Linked DNA regions of Diceros bicornis minor. The protein of the gene in region 2 interacts with the protein of the main gene of each other region in a biochemical or structural test. Links are inferred from orthologs where the notes say so. Each region holds a gene or a part of one and is shown on either strand. Other genes may lie near its edges.

What was found. The genes of interacting proteins can lie anywhere in the genome.
Region 1: the proteins of ANAPC11 (region 2) and UBE2C form a complex in vitro, tested with the Homo sapiens proteins (66 studies listed by BioGRID). The link is inferred for Diceros bicornis minor from reciprocal best matches to the Homo sapiens genes ANAPC11 and UBE2C.
Region 3: of the proteins of ANAPC11 (region 2) and PTTG1, one has a biochemical effect on the other in vitro, tested with the Homo sapiens proteins (3 studies listed by BioGRID). The link is inferred for Diceros bicornis minor from reciprocal best matches to the Homo sapiens genes ANAPC11 and PTTG1.

Annotation. Positions count from the first base shown.
Region 1 is NC_080758.1:15,531,690-15,538,909, reverse strand, and holds the start of UBE2C (ubiquitin-conjugating enzyme E2 C), read left to right. Parts: upstream 1-4,202; 5' UTR 4,203-4,247; coding exon 4,248-4,348; intron 4,349-4,891; coding exon 4,892-4,919; intron 4,920-5,647; coding exon 5,648-5,734; coding exon of another isoform or gene 5,735-5,743; intron 5,744-6,192; coding exon of another isoform or gene 6,193-6,290; intron 6,291-6,339; coding exon 6,340-6,544; intron 6,545-6,606; coding exon of another isoform or gene 6,607-6,650; coding exon 6,651-6,710; intron 6,711-7,185; coding exon 7,186-7,220. Other genes in the region: DNTTIP1 (deoxynucleotidyltransferase terminal-interacting protein 1), read left to right, coding at 1,079-1,150, 2,747-2,802, 2,915-3,053. UniProt on the Homo sapiens protein: Accepts ubiquitin from the E1 complex and catalyzes its covalent attachment to other proteins. In vitro catalyzes 'Lys-11'- and 'Lys-48'-linked polyubiquitination.
Region 2 is NC_080757.1:61,219,021-61,226,352, reverse strand, and holds the start of ANAPC11 (anaphase-promoting complex subunit 11), read right to left. Parts: upstream 3,018-7,332; 5' UTR 2,976-3,017; coding exon of another isoform or gene 2,752-2,975; intron 2,604-2,751; coding exon of another isoform or gene 2,404-2,603; coding exon 2,295-2,403; intron 1-2,294. Other genes in the region: ALYREF (THO complex subunit 4), read left to right, coding at 2,402-2,603, 2,752-2,975, 3,024-3,437, 3,883-4,014, 5,473-5,620, 6,225-6,288, 6,390-6,564, 6,662-6,676. UniProt on the Homo sapiens protein: Together with the cullin protein ANAPC2, constitutes the catalytic component of the anaphase promoting complex/cyclosome (APC/C), a cell cycle-regulated E3 ubiquitin ligase that controls progression through mitosis and the G1 phase of the cell cycle.
Region 3 is NC_080740.1:75,856,749-75,864,527, reverse strand, and holds the start of PTTG1 (securin), read right to left. Parts: upstream 3,019-7,779; 5' UTR 2,929-3,018; intron 2,669-2,928; exon of another isoform or gene 2,370-2,668; 5' UTR 2,359-2,369; coding exon 2,274-2,358; intron 1,923-2,273; coding exon 1,738-1,922; intron 97-1,737; coding exon 3-96; intron 1-2. UniProt on the Homo sapiens protein: Regulatory protein, which plays a central role in chromosome stability, in the p53/TP53 pathway, and DNA repair. Probably acts by blocking the action of key proteins.

The DNA of each region.
Region 1 (7,220 bases), on a different chromosome or scaffold from region 2:
TTGAGTGATTCTAAAGGATAAATCCCTGGAAATGGGATTGCTGGATCAGAAATTTTAAAACTTTGACTGATACTTATATTACTTGGGAAATAAAATGATTATTTAAACTCAAAGAGTAGTAACCGTATAGCCCAGATTTCCCAACTCGGCCTATTTTATAAAACCTACCTTTATTAAGCACTTATTATGTGTCAGATACTATATTTAGCACTTTTTAACCACTATCTCATTTATTTTTAACAACAACCCTGTAAGATAAGTATTAATCCTCTCTGTTTTACAAATGAAGAAACTGAGTCTCAAGGAAATTATTGCCCAGGTTTACACCGTCAATAAGTGGCAGAGGGGGCCGGCCCAGTGGCACAAGTGGTTAAGCGCGCACGCTCCGCTGTGGCAGCCCGGTGGCCCAGGGTTCGCAGGTTCGGATCCCGGGCGCACACCGACACACTGCTTGTCAAGCCATGCTGTGGCGGCGTCCCATATAAAGTGGAGGAAGATGGGCACGGATATTAGCCCAGGGCCAGTCTTCCTCAGCAAAAAGAGGAGGGTTGGCAGATGTTAGCTCAGGGCTGATCTTCCTCACAAAAAAATAAAATAAAATAAGTGGCAGAAACTGGAATTTAAACCTTGTTTGTCTAATTCCAAAGCCAGGTTCTTAACCGTGATGCTATACCACATCCCCCCAGATCATGAAGTGTCCTGATTTTTGTTTTAGAAAATACGGTCACTATAATAATCACATGTGTTGTAAGCTACCGCAGACCATTATTTCAAAGAGGGGTAGAGCTCTAAAATAAGAGTCACCAGTCTGACCAGTTGCCAGAGATGCTGTGTTTCGAGAAAAGAAGGGGGTGGGGATTAGAGGTGTACTAAACCTCTGGGAATTGGGTCCCATACCCTGGCCTCTTGGGCTCGGCTCCACTAGCTCTGAAGAGGTTGGTGAGCCCACTACAGCCACCAGGCTAGGACAAGGTCTTGTTGGTCAGAACTGCTCAAGGGCCAAGAGTATGCTCTGGGACCAAATGAGAAAAGCCCCTTGCGCCAAACTAATGCCTGTCTGTGACTTCATCCCTCACAGTATGCAGCTGACCCCCAGGACAAGCACTGGCTGGCTGAGCAGCATCACATGCGGGCAACAGGGGGGAAGATGGTAAGCATTGTTCGCACGTGCCACTGCCAAAGACCCATCCAGCCCAGGGACCAGGGTTCTGGCTATTGGTGGCAGCTTACCTCCAAATCTGAGAGACTCTCAAAGCTCTCCAGGATGAATGTGGACAGGGAGACTTGTATGGTTAGAGAGGGCCCATTCCTTCATGCTGAAGAGCAGGCTGTAATCCCTGGATTCCCTTCCCTGTCCCTAGGTCTCCCACACAGCACCCCCTCGCCCTACCACGTCATCCCTCCTATTTAGATTGTATTAGCTTTGCATAAGAATGACAGGTACAAAACACACTTAACACTACTTTTCTCTTGTGTGCCATTAACAGATTTCACTCATAGGTCATAACACTCTTCCACCAGACACAGCTATAGAGTCTTTTCTCAACACAGTACTCCAGGCGGCACCCCTCATCCATAGGGGTTAATACATGCAATGAAACTTGTTTGCCACATTTGGCAGCAGCTTCCAGAATCACCTCTACTTAAAGAGTTCTCAGCTCATATCAAGCAACAACCCTAGGAAAATCATTGTTGCATGTGTTCTAAAACTGTTGTGGAGGGCTTTGTCCATCACATGCGGTGTCCCCCAGCTGAGGACTCAACTTAGTGCCACCGCTGGGACTGTTAAAAATTCAGTGGCCTTGCAAACCAGTATGCCCTCTCCTTTCTGGCAGGGAAAGCTATCTTTTATTTTACTACTCTACTTATGCCTACACTCTTTGTTTGAAAAAAGATTTCAGGGAACTTACCATTGATACAGAAAATACAACATAATATAAATAAGAAATAGGGGGAAAAAGGAAAGGCAGGATCTAAAATTAAGCCACAAACAAGACTAGTTTTAAAAAAGTGTTTTTCTAATTGCTGACCTGGGAGACGAGTGTACTTCTATGGGTTCACACAAATTCAGCTCCAGGACCCTCTCAGGGACACCTGATCTGTTACATAGTTCACAATGCCCGTAAGATGAAGACAGTCAGATTACTCAAGGGACACACAATTATTCCTGACCCTAAAACTAGACAGAAGTGTCTTCCACAGAAGACTTGCTCATGTGAGGAACAACATCCCCCGTATGGTAAGCTCACAAGAGGGCTCTCTCCCACTGCAGATCATGGCATTGTGTCAAAGCCATTCTGCAGACCCCAGGCAATACAGCCTAGTTAGTAGACAGCCGTGCAGTTTATCACGTTTTCCCTTTTGCCACAAAGTTCAAAACCAAATCATCTTAGCTCCTAGAGTTAACATATGGCTTCCTCCTCCTGATTTCCTGTTTCCATGTATATTTTGCTAGCTCTCTTGCCATTTTATTTTAAGCTACTTCAGGGTCCTTTTTCAGAAGAGGAGGAGGCTGTAAATAATTTAGTCACCAGTCCCCACTCCCCCACCAATAAAGTTTCTATTTGAGTGAAAGATTGTCTCAGGGAACAATTCCCCAGTCTCCCTACTAACTCTCCCCTACTAAATTGTAACTATGCCCACCTCCCTTCCAGCCCTTAGAGTAAGCAGATGTTTAATAAAATGTTATTAAGTTGAACTGAAATGAATCACAGGCAATGACTACTCTCCTTTGCTCCTGCCCCAGGCCTACCTCCTCATTGAGGAGGACATCCGGGACCTCGCTGCCAGCGATGACTACAGGTAAAACCAGTGATCTGTCTGCTACCTTTCCCCCTGCCTCACAGTAGTCCCTGGGATGAGCCTGGGCCTATATCCTCCTTTGCTGCAACTTTCTTCCTCATTTCTGTTCCAGAGGATGTTTGGACCTAAAGTTAGAGGAGCTGAAATCCTTTGTCCTACCCTCCTGGATGGTTGAGAAGATGCGAAAGTACATGGAGACACTACGGACAGAGAATGAGCATCGTGCTGTTGAAGCACCTCCACAGACCTGAAGCCATGTCCCCTGGCTACATTTGGCAGCCTTCCTCTGAAGCCCTCTTACCCACGTGGCTGAGGCCACCACTGGGATGGATCTCAGCAGCATTAAGCTGTGCCTGGGCTAGTTTGTAGTGACTCACTGCAGAGCGCTCCCAGACTGGCATGTAGTTCTACATTTGTAAAGTTATTGGGATAGGAAGCAATTAAAGAGTTTGTAATAAACACAGATGGTGAGCCTGCTGTGCCGTCTGCCTTGTAGGGGCTGACAAAACATCAAGGGTTCTAGAAGAGGTGGATATAGGAAACCAGGACCATGTGCCCCTCCCCCATCCCAGGGTAGACCCAGGAAAGTCCCTCTGCCCCGTGCACATCTGCTTCATGAGACAAAGGTGGGAACACCATGTACCTTGCCAACCTTCCCTGTCCCTCTTTCTCATTTCCTTCCATACCCAACTAAGGTATGGAAGTAGCAGAATGTGCGTGCTGGCACCATAGGGGGTTGATGACAGACCATATGAAAAATGTGGAGAGGCTTTTATTACCCCCATTTTACAGGTTAAAACACTAAATGATGTTCCTAAGGCCACAGCAAACCGTTGGAGAGGCAGCACATGGACCTGTTTTCTAATAGGGAGTCTCCCGCTCTGGCCATCAGCCTCTAGTTTTTCCCCTCGCATGAATTTTCAGACACTTAGGGCCCTAATAAAGATGTTCAAGATCTTATAACGGGGGGGGGGGGGGGGGGGGGGCGGGGTTTCCGGTTTGAGGAAAGGGTACCAGTGCTGGGCGATTCCCCTGCGAGTAGGGATCCTGTCTGGGCGTGCCTCGTGTTCCCGGCAGTTCTGAGGCGTTTGACCTAAAGGGGCTCATCCCACGTGGACTTTTTCTTGGCCCTTTAATGGTTGGCGTTTTCCAAAGGCCACCAATCTGCTACAGACGCATTAGTTAATGGCGGCCTCATCTGCCAATCGCCCCTCAGAAGCAAGATTCCGCCGTCCAATAGTGATGCGCCGGTGGGTGGGTGGGTCTAGCAGTTGCGTGGTGACAGAGCGCTGCGGCGCGCCCCATTGGCTGGATCAAACCCAAGCGGGCCGCTGATTGGCCCGCGCTGCCGGAGAGTTACAATTCAAACGCGGGCGGCCGGGTCCGCAGCCCTGCAGTTGCAGCGGTGTTCTCCGAGTTCCTGTCTCCCCGCCAGCGCCGCGCGGATGGCCTCCCAGAACCGCGACCCAGCCGCCGCCAGCGTCGCCGCCGCCCGTAAAGGAGCCGAGCCCAGTGGGGGCGCCGCCCGTGGCCCTGTGGGCAAAAGGTGAGTGATGCAGGGGTCACAGCCTCCGGGCCTGGCACGACCTGAGCAGTGGGGCCCAGAGCGAAGACTTCCGGGACCCCCACCTCCTCCTGGAGCGGGTGAGATCTGGGAGGTGGGGGGACACGCCAAGCGCTTGGGCCGCTCTTAGAGACCCTGCCAAGGAGGACGGAAGGGGTAGTCATGCTGCCAGGATCCTCCTCGGGTGAGCCAACATGAAGATGCGCCGGGGACCCTCGGTGGCTTGGCGGGGGCCAGAGGAGAGGGAAAATTGAGATCCGGCACGGAGACAGACGCCAGAGGAGCAGTAGGGGTTAACAACACGCCAGAACCGTCCGGCGGGAGCCTGGAATCAGGGAGGGTGAGGACTCAATAAAATCCTCCTATGGAAATGGCCATGAGGAGTCCCCAGCTGAATCTGACCTCTCAGGGTAGAGAAATGTCCCCATGACAACTGCTCCAGAGAGACTGGGGTGGGAGGAGATGCATCCCCCGAAGCCTTGGCCCATCCAGACTCCCAGGTGACCCCAAATGCTCTTTTTGCAGGCTACAGCAGGAGCTGATGACTCTCATGGTGAGTGACTACCTGCCCAGATCCCCAAGTAGTTGGTCCACCCTCCCACCTTCCACTCACTTATCAGTAGCCTCCTTTCCTACGTCAGGCTCTTTGCCAGACATGGGGGTAAAAAGATGAGTCCAGTTTGCTCTTTTCTGGGTTGAAGTTAATATACCTCACCTACACCTTTTCTTCCAGCAGCCTCTACTCCCAATCCCATCCCCCCACAGTGAAGTTTTCTCCAATACAGTTCCCAGAAGCCATACAGGCCTCCCCGCTGTCCTGCCCTGGCCCTACTTCCCTGCCCTAAGATTTACCCACACCCAACTCTCCACCCTTCTTAGTATTTCTAGTCCTGTCATATCTTGGAATGACTCCTTCCTAGATGACCTTTTCTACATTAACCCTGAATATTCAACTCAAGTTGAATGCCCATATTGTATATCTCTCTAGTCTGTGAATAGTGTCTGGGCTTTGTACATAACGGGCACTCAATAGCATGCTGAATTGAATTCCCAGCAACCAACAAGATTATGGGTACATGATCCCAGTACTCCCCCCCAGAGGCACATGTACAGCCCCAAGAGTCTAACCACATCCTCAGAGAAGCCTACCAATTTGGTCTGGTTGCTTTATTTTGAATCAAAAAGTGATGAGATTAAGGGGAAGGGGTTCACCCACTGACCCCCATTGCTGTTCTCCAAAGTGTACTCTGCAGCCCAGCAGGTGTTGTGTTTCCTCCCCAGATGTCTGGCGACAAAGGAATTTCTGCCTTCCCTGAATCAGACAACCTTTTCAAATGGGTGGGGACCATCCATGGAGCAGCTGGCACAGTAAGTGTAGTGTTGGTGACTTTGCTGGGTCTGGGGAGAGGTAGGAGGTGAGATCCAAGCGCTAGATCTGCTTCTGTCTTTAGCCTGGCAGGACGCTCCCCTGCGTCTGTTCTCCTGCTCTGAGCCAGTGGCCCTGGTCTCTCCCTCTGTACAGTAAGAAGGTGGATTTAAAGCAGGGCTCTCCATCTTAGATGCATAGAGGGGGCCAGACAGCACGGAAAAGAATGGAAGACCAGTGAGGACTTTGGCCAATGGGAGGGCACAAGTCTCAAGATGGCAGCTTCCCATTGCTGCACATCTGGTTTAAGATGAGTCAGAAATCTAGATCTACGTCTCCTAATTTTTACATGTTAGCAACTAATGATCTAACTGGACTAAAGCACAGCTGTGGTAGCCCTCAGGATGCTAATTTACAACCTTAGACCAGGGATCACTGATGTCCCCCAGATAAGAGAGAGAGCACCAGAACCAGTGTAAGACTTTGTCTTCTGTCAAGTCCCAGACAAACTTCAAGGTCCTGGCCAAGCCCCTTATGCGGGCTTGGGTTGGGATATGAGCCTCAGGGTGGGGAAGCTTACTCCCCGCCTCTACTTCCCCACCGCCAGGTATACGAAGACCTGAGGTATAAGCTCTCCCTGGAGTTCCCCAGTGGCTACCCTTACAACGCGCCCACCGTGAAGTTCCTCACACCCTGCTACCACCCCAACGTGGACACCCAGGGTAACATCTGCCTGGACATCCTGAAGGACAAGTGGTCTGCCCTGTATGACGTCAGGACCATCCTGCTCTCCATCCAGAGCCTGCTAGGAGGTGACTTCTGAGACCAGCCCCTCCCCTGCAACCTAGGAACCTGTCAGGACTCCCGGGGCCAGCCTCTTCTACCCCCTGACCATTCTCTTTTTCTCCCCACCCACAGAACCCAACATTGATAGCCCTTTGAACACACATGCTGCTGAGCTCTGGAAAAACCCCACAGGTGGGTCCTTTGTCCTTCTCGGGCACAGGGTGATCCCTCCCCAGTCTTCAAGGCTCCCTCAAACAAAAGGATTCCAGTGACTTGGGAATGTGTCCTGAGGACTGGGTCTGGAGGGGGCTCGGGGTTGGGTGTCAAGCCACATAACCCAGTTCTTCCTCTGCCCTGGTGATTCTGGTTTGCCTGTGTGCTATAAAATCAGAAAATTATCCCTAATGTGGAAAACATTAAGGTAGGTTGAGGGGCTTTTTAAGCAGAAGGCAGCCTTGTGCAAATGACTTGCTACTAAGTCTCCCCAGTCTCACTGGCAGCAGGGCCCATCCAGGAGACCTGACCGAGTGGGCAGCAGAGGGGGAATCTGTTGTGCTGGGAACACCCCTCAGATTCCCCCCACCTGTGCATCCCTGGTCAAGCTGCCCTCTTGCCCACCTTAACTCCTGTCCCCAACGCTCACCAAGACCTGCCTGTTCTCTTCCAGCCTTTAAGAAGTACCTGCAAGAAACCTATTCAAAG
Region 2 (7,332 bases):
ACTGTGAGGGGTAACGAAGCCACCCTGTCCATTTGTGGCAGGGCTCGTTTGGACAAAGGAGCTGCTTCATTCTAGCGTCTGCCTGAGGCATCTGATGAGCACAAGAGCGAGATGACAGTGACTCACAATGACAGTGACTCACCAAGAGCTTGCTAGTGTCTTAATAGAAGTCCTTTATTTAAAACACCTCTTAACAAGACTTTTATTCCCAAAGCCCTCTGGACATGGAGCAGATTTATTACAGTCTTAGTCACTCTGGATTTTTCACAGGAGTTCAAGTTTAGTAACAGAAACCCAATGTCACTTAACCTGGATAGAAAGCACCTTATTAGGCTTGTCAAACGCTTCGCATATTACAATCGGCCCACTCTAACTTAACAACCAGCAGGTCCGAAGATCAGACTCCAAACCTCCTACTCTCTGCAGCCAACGGACCCACTTCAACAAAACCTGAGCATGCCCGCAAACGTGGAGACGCCCAGCCCTGGGCACAGCTGGAATGGTACGTGTGCTGGCCCACAGGTGCCATCTTTAACACACAAGTGCACTGGCCCACAATGGGCTGAGGTCACATGCTTCCCAGAACTTGTCTTTTCACAAAATAACAATCTGTTGCTTAGGAAACTGCAAACACTTGTCCCTTTAGGCTCCCACAGCCTTTGTTGTACCCTCAGGAAGGGAGATTTAAAACAGATTAGATGAGACAGATCTTGTGCCTTGCTATTCTCATTTGCTACTAAGCAAAACCTGGCCAAGTAGAGCCAATCAATTATTTCCTAAGATTACATTCTGCCTGTTTGATTAAATCAGGATGGATTAACTCCTGGGTGATGCGATTTCCTTTCAGCCAAGGCAGATGTAAACATTAAGCCTAGAATAAAATAGTATTTGCACTAAAAGTCAACGATTTGAATTTCACTGTAAGAAGCAAAGCCCTATGATTATTCTGGGCATTCACCTCGCCCCCAAAACCAGGCCTGGTCACCCCCGGGGCAGCACGGAGCTCGGCAGCACTCCCCAAGCCCACTTTCCTTGGGGCACCACCCCCTAGGCAAAGCCGTCACCCCCGTTCTGCTTCATGTTCACTTGGGTCTGACCGAAAACTAAATTCACAGGTGTAAAAATCTGCTTCTGACAAATATATAATTAAATATTTTCTACTTCACAGAACATACTGGGAACAAAGGAACAATCCAAAGGCCTCACAAAGAAGAAACTGATAAAAGCTGACAGTAGGCATTCTGCAAGGCAACACACCAACTTTCTAAGAGTCAGATATCTTAAAAAAAGCGACAAAGGCAGAGAAAGGATGTTCTAGATTAAATAGCTAAGGGACAGAGCAACCAGATGTGCAGTCCTGGCTCACACCACCCAAGAATGAAAAGACATTTGGGGACAACTGGAGAAATATGAACAAGGACTAAGAATGGGGAGTGACACTAAGGAACTGTCATGTTGTCTGATGTGACAACAGTGCTGGGTAAAAACAGCGTTACATTTAGAGATGCAGCTGAAGTGAGTGGGGTGAGATGTCAATTATCATTTAGTTGAGCCACGGGGCTGGCCCTTAGTTGAAAACCATTCAGCTAAAACATAAAACAAATACCAAAACATCTTACTTATCCATTGTCAGTCTATGTGCCGGATTGGGGGGGGGGGTGTCCTTATAACATTCCATTTTTTTGTTTGGTTAAGAATTTTCAAATAAAAAGTTTTCACACATCTTTTTGTCCCATGTGTTTCATAGCCAAGTCTGATCATGAAAAAAAGCTGCACCATATTTGGGGGGAGGGGGGGTTTTTTTTTTTTGAGGGATATCAGCCCTGAGCTAACATCCATGCTAATCCTCCTCTTTTTTGCTGAGGAAGACCCGCTCTGAGCTAACATCTATTGCCAATCCTCCTCTTTTTTTTTTTCCTCCCCAAAGCCCCAGTAGATAGTTGTATGTCATAGCTGCACATCCTTCTAGTTGCTGCATGTGGGACGTGACCTCAGCATGGCCAGAGAAGCGGTGCGTTGGTGCACGCCCGCGATCTGAACCTGGGCCGCCAGTAGTGGAGCGCAGGCACTTAACCGCTAAGCCAGGGGGCCGGCCCTGCACCATTTTTTTCTTACAAAACTTTTGATGGGGTCTTTATACAAATAACGGCCCAAACCGCCTGGCTTGTTTCTGTCAACTTTTCTGGAGGAAAGGGAAACCCAAACCCAAGAACTTCGTGCAGATATTTCTGGGGAGACGCCGAGGCCGGACGAGCAGGCAGAGCTCAGAGGCAGCGGGCACAGGGGACACTCACAGTCCGGGCAGCAGCCATTGAAGGCCATCCGGCAGATGCCACAGTTCTCGTCGTTGGCCACCCAGAGCCAAGTGGCCACTCCGTTCCAGCACTTGATCTTCACCTTCATGGCGGCGGAGCCTGCGGGCGAGCGAAAAGAGCACCCGACAACATTTAGTCTGCAGAGCTCAGCGTTTCAGCACCAAAGGACAGGCGCTGCCCGGAGCCCGAGGGTCTGCGCCCGCGGGACTCGCCGTCCGAGCCCTGAGAGTCCGGCAGCCGCCGAGAGGGCGGCCGGGCTGTGGTTGCCCCTGGGAGAGCGGGAGCCCCGCGACTGAGGCTGGCCACTCATCTAGGGCACCTGCGTCGGCCGCACGCTCCGCCCGGACGCCCGCGAGGGGCACTCTGGCTTCGGTAGTAACAACAGGGGGCCGCGCGGACTACCCGTGGTGACAGACGAACACCGACCGCCCGCCAGTTCCCCGGGAAGGCCACCCAGTGCGCGCGTCCTGCGCCCCACACCGGACTCGCCCGAGGCGGGGAGGCTCCCGACCCCGGCCGCACCGCCCCGCGCCCCCCGCCGCCCGGGAAGGGAGAAGGGCGGTGCCCGGACCCGCCCCAACGGCCGCGCCCTCGCACCTCCGCGGCGAATCGCGCGCCGCCCCGCCCGCCTTCCGTTGGCAGCGCCGCCGGCGCGGGAAGGTACAAAAACGACCGGGGCCAGCTCCCAGCACCTCGCAGCTGCGCTAGCCGAGCCTCGCGTCCTATCGCGCACGCGCCGCTCCGCCCCGCTGCCCCCGCCCGCCTGCAGCCAATCGGCGGCCGCTCCGAGTACGCGGCACCGGAAGCCTCCGCGCGGCGCCGGAAGTGACGCTCCAGCGTGCTGACGCGCGGGCTCTAGCTGAGGCCGATTCCGCGCCCGCCATGGCCGACAAAATGGACATGTCTCTGGACGACATCATTAAGCTGAACCGAAGCCAGCGAGGCGGCCGCGGCGGGGGCCGGGGCCGCGGCCGGGCCGGCTCCCAGGGCGGCCGTGGCGGCGGTGCGCAGGCCGCCGCGCGAGTGAACCGAGGCGGCGGCGGGCCCATCCGGAACCGGCCGGCCATCGCCCGCGGCGCTGCGGGCGGCGGCGGCAGGAACCGGCCGGCGCCCTACAGCAGGGTGAGTGCGGAGGCCGGCCGGCCGCGGCGGGGCGGCGCGTGGCGGAGAGGACAGCGGGCCGGGCCGGGCCGGTGGCTCGGGCGCCGGGCTGGACGGGGAGGTCGCGCGGCCGGCCGGGCCTAGGAGGCGGAGACCCTGCCGGCCTTTTGTCTCGGCTGGGCGCCGGGCCTCGTGGCGCCGGGGGCGGAGGGGGTGTAGGGCGCGGCCGCACTGGCGGCGGAACGTTCGTAGGAGGGAACCGAGAAGTTGCGGGGCATGGGGCCTCGGCGGGGTCGGCTGCGGCCCAGCGCGCGCAGGCGGGAAGCGGAGGACTGCAGTGTCCTCTGGGCTCTCTTCTCCGGGCTCCGATCGGAGAGGGTCTTGCCGTGGCCGTGAGCGCGCGAGAGAGCCCTGGAGTGAGACTCAATGGGTCTGTTTCTGTTCTGGTGTTTTTCTTTTCCTTCAGCCGAAACAACTTCCTGACAAATGGCAACACGACCTTTTCGACAGCGGATTTGGGGGTGGTGCCGGCGTGGAGACGGGTGGGAAACTGCTGGTGTCAAATCTGGATTTTGGAGTATCCGACGCTGATATTCAGGTAAGGGTTTGGAGCTTCTCGGTGAGCAGTTCACCCTGCACGGAATCGGTCGTGTTGTTTGGGATGTGGCCCTGAAGTCCCCCCCCATCTTAAGACAGTGAGCCCTCCCAGGCACCCAAGAGCTAGCGGCTGTCCCCTGTAAGGGGCGGCAGGAGTGCAAAGCAGAGGTCATGCCAGAGTTGAAAGTCCCACAAGTAGGTCAGTTTGTGTTGGGAGACAGGCCCCCAGCTTGGTCTAAGGAGTTGCTGCTCCTTACTAAGATGTGTTCTGTGAGTGGAAATCCTCTGCCGGGGTTCCCAGTTTCTAACAGGAAAAGACTGGTTAGATATGAGTCGTTCCTGTGTTACTGATAAAGCTAGGCTGCTTGCTTGCTTTAATTAGTACCTGTTTTAATGATTTGTTGGGAGGAGAAAGATTTTCTTTTGTAGAACTGGAAAAGCACAGAAGCAGGATGGTGCCGGTCATCTTTCCAGCTCTGTTTGCCTTGAGCCCTGTGTCTCATAAGGAACTTGTGTCATGTTGTCTCACTTATCACCATCCCCCTGGGTCTTGTTAGTGGCATGATTCTCAAACCCATCTTTGGTTGAAGCCTTTTTTTTTTTTTTTTTTTTTTTTGATTGAATTCCGAACGCGTTTAAACTTCTTTTCTGGTTTAGTAACAATATTTTGGGGGTCAGTCTTGGAGATGGCTGGGTCAGGGTACTGGGCCTTCCTGGGTTAAATTTCCCAGAGCCCAGGCGTTTGACTTTACCGTGGGAGGACAGAGCAAGGCTGGTGAGCACTCACAGTGTCTCAACACTTTTTTTAAGGTGGTTTCTGGCATCCACTGGAAACCGCTTTTGGTGAACTCCACTTCCCGCTGTGTGCCTGCGGCCGGAGTAGCCCCACACTCTGGGTTCCCTCTCCAACTCCCAGCCTGCCTGAGGTCAGGGCAGTTTCCATGGCAGCGCTTGACTTCAGACTTTGCGGCAGGCTTGAGTAGGAGGAGAGGGAAAGGTGAGCCAGAATCTGCCCTGGGGGAGGGGCTGGGTCAGGGCTCCCGAATCAGCGGGCCCTTTGAGCTGGTCCACATGTTAGATAGCATCCCTTGCTCTGTGATGTTGGCCTTTGCTGTTTCTTGGCACAGTCCTTGAGTGTGTTGTAAATTTTCCTTTGTCGAAGAAGATAGTGACTTAGTCTCGTGCCTTTCACTGGTGGGCTTTGTGATCCTTTACCTGCATCACAGTATAGGTGTCAGGTCCCCAAGTTGGCAGGAGCCCTCAGGCCCAGCTGCTCCTGGAAGTTGCTGTCCCACCTGCCCCATCCCTTCCCCCAGTTCCCGCTACCACTGCCCTGCCCCCCATACGTAAGTCTGCCTCCCAGGGAAATATCCCCAAAGCAGCTCACACTTCCAGGGATTGTCCCTGGGCCACCAGAAGAAAAACAGCTTTGCTAACAGCTGCTCTTTCCAATTCCCAGGAACTCTTTGCTGAATTTGGAACTCTGAAGAAGGCGGCCGTGCACTATGATCGCTCTGGCCGCAGTTTAGGAACAGCTGATGTGCACTTTGAACGGAAGGCAGATGCCCTGAAAGCTATGAAACAGTACAACGGTGTCCCTTTGGATGGTGCGTTTGGGGTCAGCCCAGGAAGACTGAGGGCTGTATCTAGTTTGTGGAGTTTGGGGCTGGCACCTGTCCATGCAGGAATACGGCTTACTTCTCTGGCTGAAGGCACTTTGTATTCACCCCTTTGTCTCTCTCTTCTATTCTGACACCTCTCGTGCTGCCCCACACATCTGAGCCAACCTCTTGTGAACCCCCATCCAGCAAGCTACATCCCTCCCCTCCTTCAGCTCCTTCCGGAAGATTCACTTCCGTGAAGTCTTCTCAGAACTGCTATAGTACATCTCTGAGTTCGGGGCTATAGTCATAAAGACAAAGGTACCAGTTCTTCCATCAGATCACCCACATCTTTCTGCCCGTGAGCACCTTGGACACCTGAACAGACACCCACCTCAACTGGACTAAGAAAGAGCGAGGTGTTGCTGGGGTTGTCGTTGGTGCCGTCTTATTCTCCCGGCAGTATCTCCAGGCCATATCTCTTGTCAGGAGCCTTTGAGGCACACAAAGCGCCTTTCCAGTGCTTGCATGGAGATCAGGGTATGGTGCCACCTGGGCAAGTCTCAGAATCCTCTAACTGGAATGTGCCCTCTTGTATTCTTTGCCACAGGCCGCCCCATGAACATTCAGCTTGTCACATCACAGATTGACACACAGCGGAGACCTGCACAGAGGTGAGTTGTGGGGCCTCTGGGATGGGGTTGGCCTGTCCTGTGTGGCTGCTCATCTTTCAGGCCTCTCCATTTATGGAAATGAGTCTCCTTTTCCTTGCTAGTGTAAACAGAGGTGGAATGACTAGAAACCGTGGTTCTGGAGGTTTCGGTGGTGGTGGCTCCCGGAGAGGCACCCGTGGAGGCAGCCGGGGCAGGGGCAGAGGCACTGGCAGGAGTTCAAAGCAGCAGCTTTCTGCAGAGGAGTTGGACGCCCAGCTGGATGCTTATAACGCAAGAGTAAGTCCCAGACGAGGGCCAGGCTGGGGCCAACCAAAGCCCGACTGGTGTGTGGGACCCTGTTTTGAGTGAGAACCTCTTTTTACCTGTGTTTCAGATGGACACCAGTTAAACAGACCAGCAAATCCGTGCATGGGACAGGACCCAGACATCTCGTGTGCGCTCCCTGACGGGAGGAGGGTGGCAGACTGGGGCTGTGTGGCCAATGATGGATTTGTTTCTTTTATGTTTTAAAATAGGATTTAAAACTCTTGTAAAGGTTTTTTTTGTTTTTTGGTTTTGTTTTGTTTTTTTTTAATTCTGAAACAGACCTGTTTTGTACCAAGTTATTTTTGGGATAAATTTTACTGATTGCTGTTGTGGAGAAGGTGGTGTTTTCACCTTTGCCATAATAAAATAGAAATGCGTGTAGAACTGGAACTGTTTGATTCATCTCACTGTTGGAGTCCTTGCCTAGCCAGAACTTCAGTGTGGGCCCAGGTGGGAGGGAGGGACATGGGACCTGAGGAGGGGGCATCTGGCATCCTGGTGTGGGTTTGGAGTTAGTGCTTCAGGGGGTGGTGGCTGCTACTGTACCATTTCTCTCCCACTGATCCTAACTCCTTCCTCTCTGACTCGGTAGGTGGGAGGACAGGGGGCAGTAGTCCCTCTGCCTGCAGCTGCCTATTGATTGCCTGTGCCATGAGGTGAGGGATGGCAGGCACCTCATGTCGCTGCCAGATTTCAGATGATGAGGTTGCACTGTTCTTTCCTTCTGGTGCTGTGGTT
Region 3 (7,779 bases), on a different chromosome or scaffold from region 2:
ACCTAGAGGATTGAAGGGAAAGAATTTCTCTATTTCTGGATAGGTGTCATCTGACGCAGGAACAGAGGTTTTTGCTTTAACAGTCTTCTCGGTCATCTAAAACAACCCAAGAAAATATGGATTAGTGAGAGTGGAAGGCTTGTCAACTGATTAGTACAAGAGATCACAGGGCTTCTTCAAGACGTGTGACCACTTCGCCACAGTTTAAATTTTTTCAGTTTCATGCTGACTTCTAAGAAACCATAATCCTTAGTTCTCATGATTACATACAAATACAATTCAGCAAGCAATTCTAGTAGCGTGGCTCAAAAGTTAAGTCTGAAATTTAAGTATTGGCACCTGTCAGCATAAGTTATCAAGAACACAGAGTGGAGTTAATTCAGAGCTAATCAACTCAGTCACTCAACCTAACAGAGGAAAAAATGGGCATGAGTCACCCACAATAGTAGCTAGTCCTAGAAGCCATTTTTGGCTTTTGGAAGTGTGATTTTTTCCATCAGTATTACCTTCATTATTTGCTTGGTTAATATTAAAAACAAGTTTGTATTTCTCAAATACACAGACTGAGTGAGAGGCAGCAAAAGACAGTCAAGGACTTGAGAAGCCCACCGTGGATAAATCCTTAGTCTGGAACTGACAGGTAGGCAATCTACGACAGTAGTAGGCCAAAACTAAAGCCTGTGTATTCCAAATTTAATCTTACACCGAATTTAATCTTACGCCTAGAGCAAATCCCTACCGCAGCGTCTCCTACACTTCGGTTCTGTCACATTCTCATTATTTTTGCCATATCCTTGCAATACATGTATTTAACGTTTCTAAGTCAACTCAGTTTTTTAAAGACATCCTTGTCCTAAGCTGCACTACACGTAAGTCATGGGTTTGATGTAAAGTAGCAGCTGTTTTTTCCTAATACACATTAAAACAGTTATTCAAATAAAGTGTTAATCTACATGCTGAAGCATCTTTCACAGCAAAGTCCTCTTATTCTGGGATGCACTGACCTATAGCTCGTGCACACAAAGGTCAACATTTTAGCAAATCATCACCCAACAAGCTGGTGCTTGCTCTGGGAGGCGGGGAGGAGGATGGCAGCGCCTGAGCTATTACATTAGGAACGTGACCTCTTGCAAAGCACACCCTTGCTCTTACTACTTCATGTATCCGTAAGTCGACACTACCGACCAATCTTCCTCAAGATACTAGTTAAAGGCAGGTGAGGCAAAAATATTCACCAGCTGCTTCTTTTTTGTTTTGTTTTGTGAGGAAGATCAGCCCTGAGCTAACATCCATGCTAATCCTTTTTTTTTTTTTTTATTGCTGAGGAAGACCAGCTCTGAGCTAACATCTATTGCCACTCCTCCTCCTTTTTTCCCCCAAAGCCCCAGTAGATAGTCATAGTTGTACATCCTTCTAGTTTCTGTATGTGGGACGCGGCCTCAGCATGGCCAGAGAAGCGCTGGGTCGGTGCGCGCCCGGGATCCGAACCCAGGCCGCCAGCAGCAGAGCGCGAGCACCCAACCGCTAAGCCACGGGGCCGGCCCCACCAGCTGCTTCTGAGACTTCTGGTTTTGAGGTACAGAGGAAGTCCACAAAAACAGTACGACTCTCTTCTGCTATCTGTGTTTATCTATATTTCCTTCTGCTCACAGGGAAGAAAGCCAGAGAGGATGCTAATAGTCATTTTATGAGTCAGAAGTGAAGTGTTTCAATAATGTCTTTATAGCTAACACTTGCCTTTTTGGCAGAGAAGGTTGTCTGTTTCTGTTTGAGGGGTCCATTGGTCTTAACTGACTTTTCTGTAGCTCTGTTGACAGTTCCCAAAGCCTTTCTGGCAGTTTTAGGTAAGGCTGGTGGAGCATCAAACATTTTGCCCACATGTGGTGTTGAAACCTGAGATCTCCCATCCAAGGCTTTGACTGCTGAAGAAAAAGTCTTACCATAAGATTATTCAGACAGTAAACACCTGTGCAACTCGAAGGCTGACTGTATGTAAACTTGGCCTAATTTTTACCCCCAAACCCAACCCCCACTTTTGACAGTGGCATGGCCATGATATGCCTAATAGTACTGCAGTCCAGTATCCTCTTAAATAATCTCATTAAGACACTGAACCTGAAAAAGAGACCCATAACAAGCATGTTACAATAACAGTATTGGGTAAACTTAATTCCAACGGCCAACCAAGTACACTAAATGCCTCCCCCAGCTCCAGGCCGCATTCACAATTGATTCACAATACCTGTGTCTCGGATTGCAGCCTGTATACTTACAAGGCCCCAGCTTCAGCCCATCCTTAGGAGCCACACGGGTGCCTGGTTCTCCATTTTCCTTATCAACAAAGATCAGAGTAGCCATTCTGGATTAAGCTAGGGATGTGAAATACATATTAGACCCTGAGGGGTTAGGGAAGACGAGAGAAGCTATGGTGTAGCACAGACCAGACTTTCTACCCTGGGCTCGTCCACGCAAAAACGAGAGCTAAGCGCAAGGAGAAGCCCGATCCGGAGCGAACAGGCACTTAATCCAGCTGTTAACTCTTGAAGCCTGCGTCAGGGGCTCTAAGACCCTGAAGAGTTGGCGGTTTGGGACTGGCACAGGCGCTGGTACTCATCAAAACCAAACCGCCGTGGGTAGCGGATGCAGTCCGAGGCCGCGGCTCAACCCGGCTTGGCGCCATAGACAACCCAGGGTAGCCCTAGCCTCCAGCCCCCAGGCCCCAGGCCCCAACGCCCTGGCTGCCGGCTCCCGGCCCCCGGCCCCCGACGCCAGCCCTGGCCCCCAGGGCCCCAGGCCCCAACGCCCTGGCTGCCGGCTCCCGACCCCCGACGCCAGCCCTGGCCCCCAGGGCCCCAAGCCCCAACGCCCTGGCTCCTTCCTCGCCGGACCCCGCTCCTCCAACCACTCGCCACCTTCCCATTCACCCACGTTGGGATCAACAGCCAAAATCACCCAAGACTCGGTCTCCAGCGGTCGCGCCAGGATCCGTGTTTAAACCACAATTCACGCCCCTATTGGTTCATCCGCCCAGGGGGCGGGACCGGGGTGGGCTCAGGAAGAACCAATGGGAGGATTCTAAGCTCCCTGGGTTCCGCCCCCGAAAGCTTTTTCCCGGAAAGTTTGTAGCTTGTTTGCTGGGAAGGAAAAAACCAAACCTGCTGACACCTTGATCGTGGACTTGTAGGTGTTTTTTTAATCTGCTCCTCATATAGATAAAAAGGGAGTGAATATGGTCTCCAATTCCAAGAAATAAATTATTATTATGATTATTATGATACCAAGACAGAGAGTTTTGGGTTTTTTCGAGACACTTGGGTGACCAAGACGTGCTTAAATGAAAAGATTGTGAGGTTCAAAAAGGTCAAGGCAAGGTGGCAACAGAACTATTTTCCTAAAGTCTTCAACTAATGAACTATTCGTCCAGAGAATAAATAGACCAGATCAAATCAAACAAAAAGAAGAAACAGACTGCAGGAAAGGCATTTTAGTCATTGGAAAACTGTCATCACTGAGGAAAAATGGATATTTAATAGTTGGATCTCAATTAGAGATATGAAAAAATACATATATAGTCAGGTGGGGACAATCCATATTAGGTCTAAGGAACACTAGCAGGGAGGAATTAAGAAGAAATGTAAGTACAGATAGATCAAACAGCAATGTTCGAGTCATTCTGTTGTGCTTGTGATTAAGAATGAACTGATTATTCCCTAATTGCAGGACTATCCTCAACATTTCAGGCTAGGATGCTGTCTCTACTACAGCATCAGGAATCTGACTTAGAAACAAAATGATGATCCTAATGAATACATAATTCAGGCTTCCTTTAAAATTGTATCATTTAATAGGGACTTATTTTAAACATCTAACATCTCAACAATATACATATTCATGAAAGCCACCTGGAAGGCCCTGGTGCGGAAAGGCAGATGGATCAACAAGAGAAGATTAGAGGAATAATAAAGATATAGAAAAGGAATTCCAATTTCAAGATATGAAAAGAAATTATGAAAAAGTTGATGGACTTAGCCTATTTCTATAGTAAATGGAAATATATTGAACAAATACACGATAAACGAATAAATTCAAAAGACCAAAGCTGACCGGTGTCATGCAAACCCTACTCCCCGCAGGTCACCAGATAGATTTTAACCTGCAGATGAATCAAGACAGAGGAGTTGACTCCGCATTACTCTTTCACAAAAGGTTTAACACTACACCTGGCACAGACATGGTTCTTACTATATGCCAGCTCATTGCCCCTTCTTCCTTGGCATTTCAGGACCAAAATTGATTGAATGATTAATTCATTGAACAAGTATTTATTGAATGCCGATTACATGCTGGACACTGTGCTAGGCATCAAGAAAAGATCCTACTCAAGAAAGCGAAGAAAAGAGGGAGGACAAAAAATCATGCATACCTTTATTGCCCCTTCTCTGTCCTTTTTCTTTTATTCCCACCTCTCCCCTTATTTTCCCTCTGTGTCCCCTTCTATATGTCTCAGCTCCATATTATATCATCACCATCAGTTCAAAGTGAAGAAGTGTTCACTTCGAAACCAAATCTGTACAACACCTACAGCTTCCAAGTGGGGATGCTCTATCTTCTAAGTCTTTGGGTGCAAGGTTTGTATCTCCCTAGGGTAAATCTTCCCCTTACAACAGGAAGCATCGTGTCTCCCTAGGTCATGCAGTAAGTGTAAAATGCCATAACCACCCCCTCTTTGAGTGACCACTGTTTTCTAACTAATGATGCCCCAGACCCACTTTGCTATTCCAAACTATTACTGGGGATACCCAGTTGCAAAACCACACTCACCTCATGACAGCACCTAGATCCTAATCAATCCCAGTTTATCCTAATCCCTATTTACAAACAGCAACCCTTCCAGAACTGATCCCTGCTTCCCTAGACCCTCATCAGAATCCTCACGGGGAACTCAAACCTTACAAAAGATTCTTCCCGCTTGTCCAGCACATTCTTTGATTCTTCTGGGAGATGTGCTCCCTGGCTTGCGCCTGGTGGTTTTAACCAAATAGGCCTCAACACTTCCAAGCAAATTTCAGGAATTGTTTTAAGGAGATAAAAACAAACTGTGGGTGATTCGTAGACTATTCATTTTCAGGCTATTTCCTGACACTTTCTATTCCTTCATCTATTGCCCTGTAAAAATCAAAATTAATATTTACCATTCCTAAACTCTAGGCACTGCAAATTCTTAAGAAAAAAATAGATTATATTATGATGGGCTCTCTTACTGAGACAAAAACGGTAGATATCTTCACGCATGTTATTTTGAAAAACAAAAAAAAAGTCACCAGAACAGATAGGGAAAAAAAAAATCAGAGGAAATTCTACTACCAAAAGCACTGTTTATTTTCCAGTATTTCATTTCATAAGTATTCTTTAAAAGGAGGGTTGGGATGTCATGGATACCAGTGTTTTCCCAAAATGGAGATCGTTTTATAGTATTTTTTTCCCTAATCATAAAATACAAGATCACTTCAAGGCGAGGTGTCACAATTACCAAATAGCCTTACGTTCTCATAGCACCTGGCATTCCTTTCATAGCGACTCTCTACAACTGTAAATTACTTGAATAATTACTTTAGTGTCTTTCTCACTCTGTGTGATGTAAATTCGAGGAGAGAAAGAGACGGTGTTCACCACGTCCCCAGCGTGTAACACAGTACCTGGCTACTAATTAATACTAATTTTAACTGCTTTTTTTAACTTAACGCGTAACGCACTTCCCCATTCATTTCATAATGCTCTAGTGAGGCTTAAGCTGTGGTCCGTTCTCGGTGCCAATTTTTTTCTTTTTTTCTGTACATCATAAGTCTCTGCGATTCTAAAACAAACACGAGCGGAGAAGCAGGGAATCCAAAAGAAGCTGCTCAAGCTGAGCCCCTCCTACAGACCCGGGGCAGAGAAATAGGCACCGCTTGAGATCTCGCGAGACCAACGTCGCAAAGGAGCCACTCAAAGAGTTGTTAGTGCGCATGTGTCGATCGTCCGGAAGGTACCGCAGTGGCTGCCGGGAGGGGGCGGAAAGCCAGGAAGTAAACATTGACAGATCGGCTTCGTTACTGTGCCGTGGGTTTGGGGCTGGCTGCGGCGCGCTAGGTAAGGAAATATTGTGAGAAGTTGGCGGTGGGGGGTAGGTGAAGCTGGGGAACCTCAGAAAATGGGTCACGGGGGTGATGAACGCCAGGTTGAGGAGGGAATGGGGACCGGGGACCAGGGACCGAAAAAGAAGCCGCCGTCCTAGGCCTCAGACATGGTACTTGGGCCCGGCCAGACCAGGACTGTGTCTCAGCGGTTTTTAGAGTAAGAGTTATAAGATGCCATTGAAGCTGCACTGCCCAGTATGATAGCTGTTAGCTGCTTGTGGCTTTTAAGGGCTTGAAATGTGGCTAGTCTGAATAAGTGTAAAATATCTATTTTACACTTATTCAGATAAGATATTAAAGACTTAGTTTATTTTTTCTTATGTTGAAATGATAATATGTTGGATATATTGGGTTAGATAGTGCAAAAGTAATTTTACCTGTTTCTTTTTCCTTACTGTGGCTACTGGAATATTTTAAATGGTATATAGGGCTGGCGTTATATTTCTCTTGGACAGCGCTGCATTGGAGGGTTTTAAGCTTGGGTAGTGGGATGTGCTATGATTGTATTTAAAATTTGTGTTTTGAAAAAATAATGCTGCAGTGTGGAGAATTGATTGGATGGGCTAGCAGGAAACTAGAAGGAAAAAATAACGTGAAGCTCGTAGCATTGAGAAAGAGAGAAGTAGATGAATTTGAATGACATTCAGAAGGTGAAAATAACAATTCTTAATGATAAAATAGATATGGAGATTTGCTGGAACACTTATGTAAAAGGATGGATGGTGGTGTCTTTTGTTAAGAGAGGAAACAGTGGAAGGAGACTAGATTTCTTGGAGAAGATCATGAATTTGAATTAAAATTTGTTGAGTTTAGGTGTCTCTGGGACCTCTGTGGAGATGCTGTGAAGTAAGCAGTAGGACCTGTGTATCTGAAGCTCGGATAAAAGATCTGGAATAGAGAAATAAGTTGGAGAGCCAACAGTGGTATGTTGTGGCTATTGAAGCCTTGGAAATAGATGAGCTTGTCCACTGGTGGAGTTCAGAGTAAAGAAAGATGCTCTAGGACTCAGCCTTGTGGAATCCTAAATTAAATAACTGGGCAGAAACAGATGAACCTGCAAAGGAGACAGGAGGAGCAGGGAAAGGGGTACAAGAAAATCCAGGAGAGTATAGTGTCACATAAGCCAAGGGATAAGAATATATCAAAATGAGAGGGAACAGAACTGAAAAATGTCCAGTGGATTTAGCACATTGATCATTGATAACTTACTGGTGACTCTTTGAAGTGCTAAGGGATGGAAGCTAAATTAGAGTGATTGAAGAGGGAAGGAGAAGATGAGGAAATAGAGACAATATAACTCTTAAGGCATTCAGTCTTTAAGAGAAACAGAGATAGGACCCCGTTTACTCATTAAGGGTTAGTGTGGTAGAAAAGTTTGAGACACGTACATAGAAAGAGAGGAATTCAGGAATATATATGACAGAAAGAGTCTTATGAAATTTTAAATACATGTGTATATGTCTCTCTCCATTTGTAAATGAGAGTTCAGGGAGAAACTGCAATAGTATATAGAGGGGAAAGAGATGCTTCCCTTACAGATATTATGAAAGAGTAAGAACGTATGAAGCATTATATTTAACCCACAGTATGTGTTATTAGGACG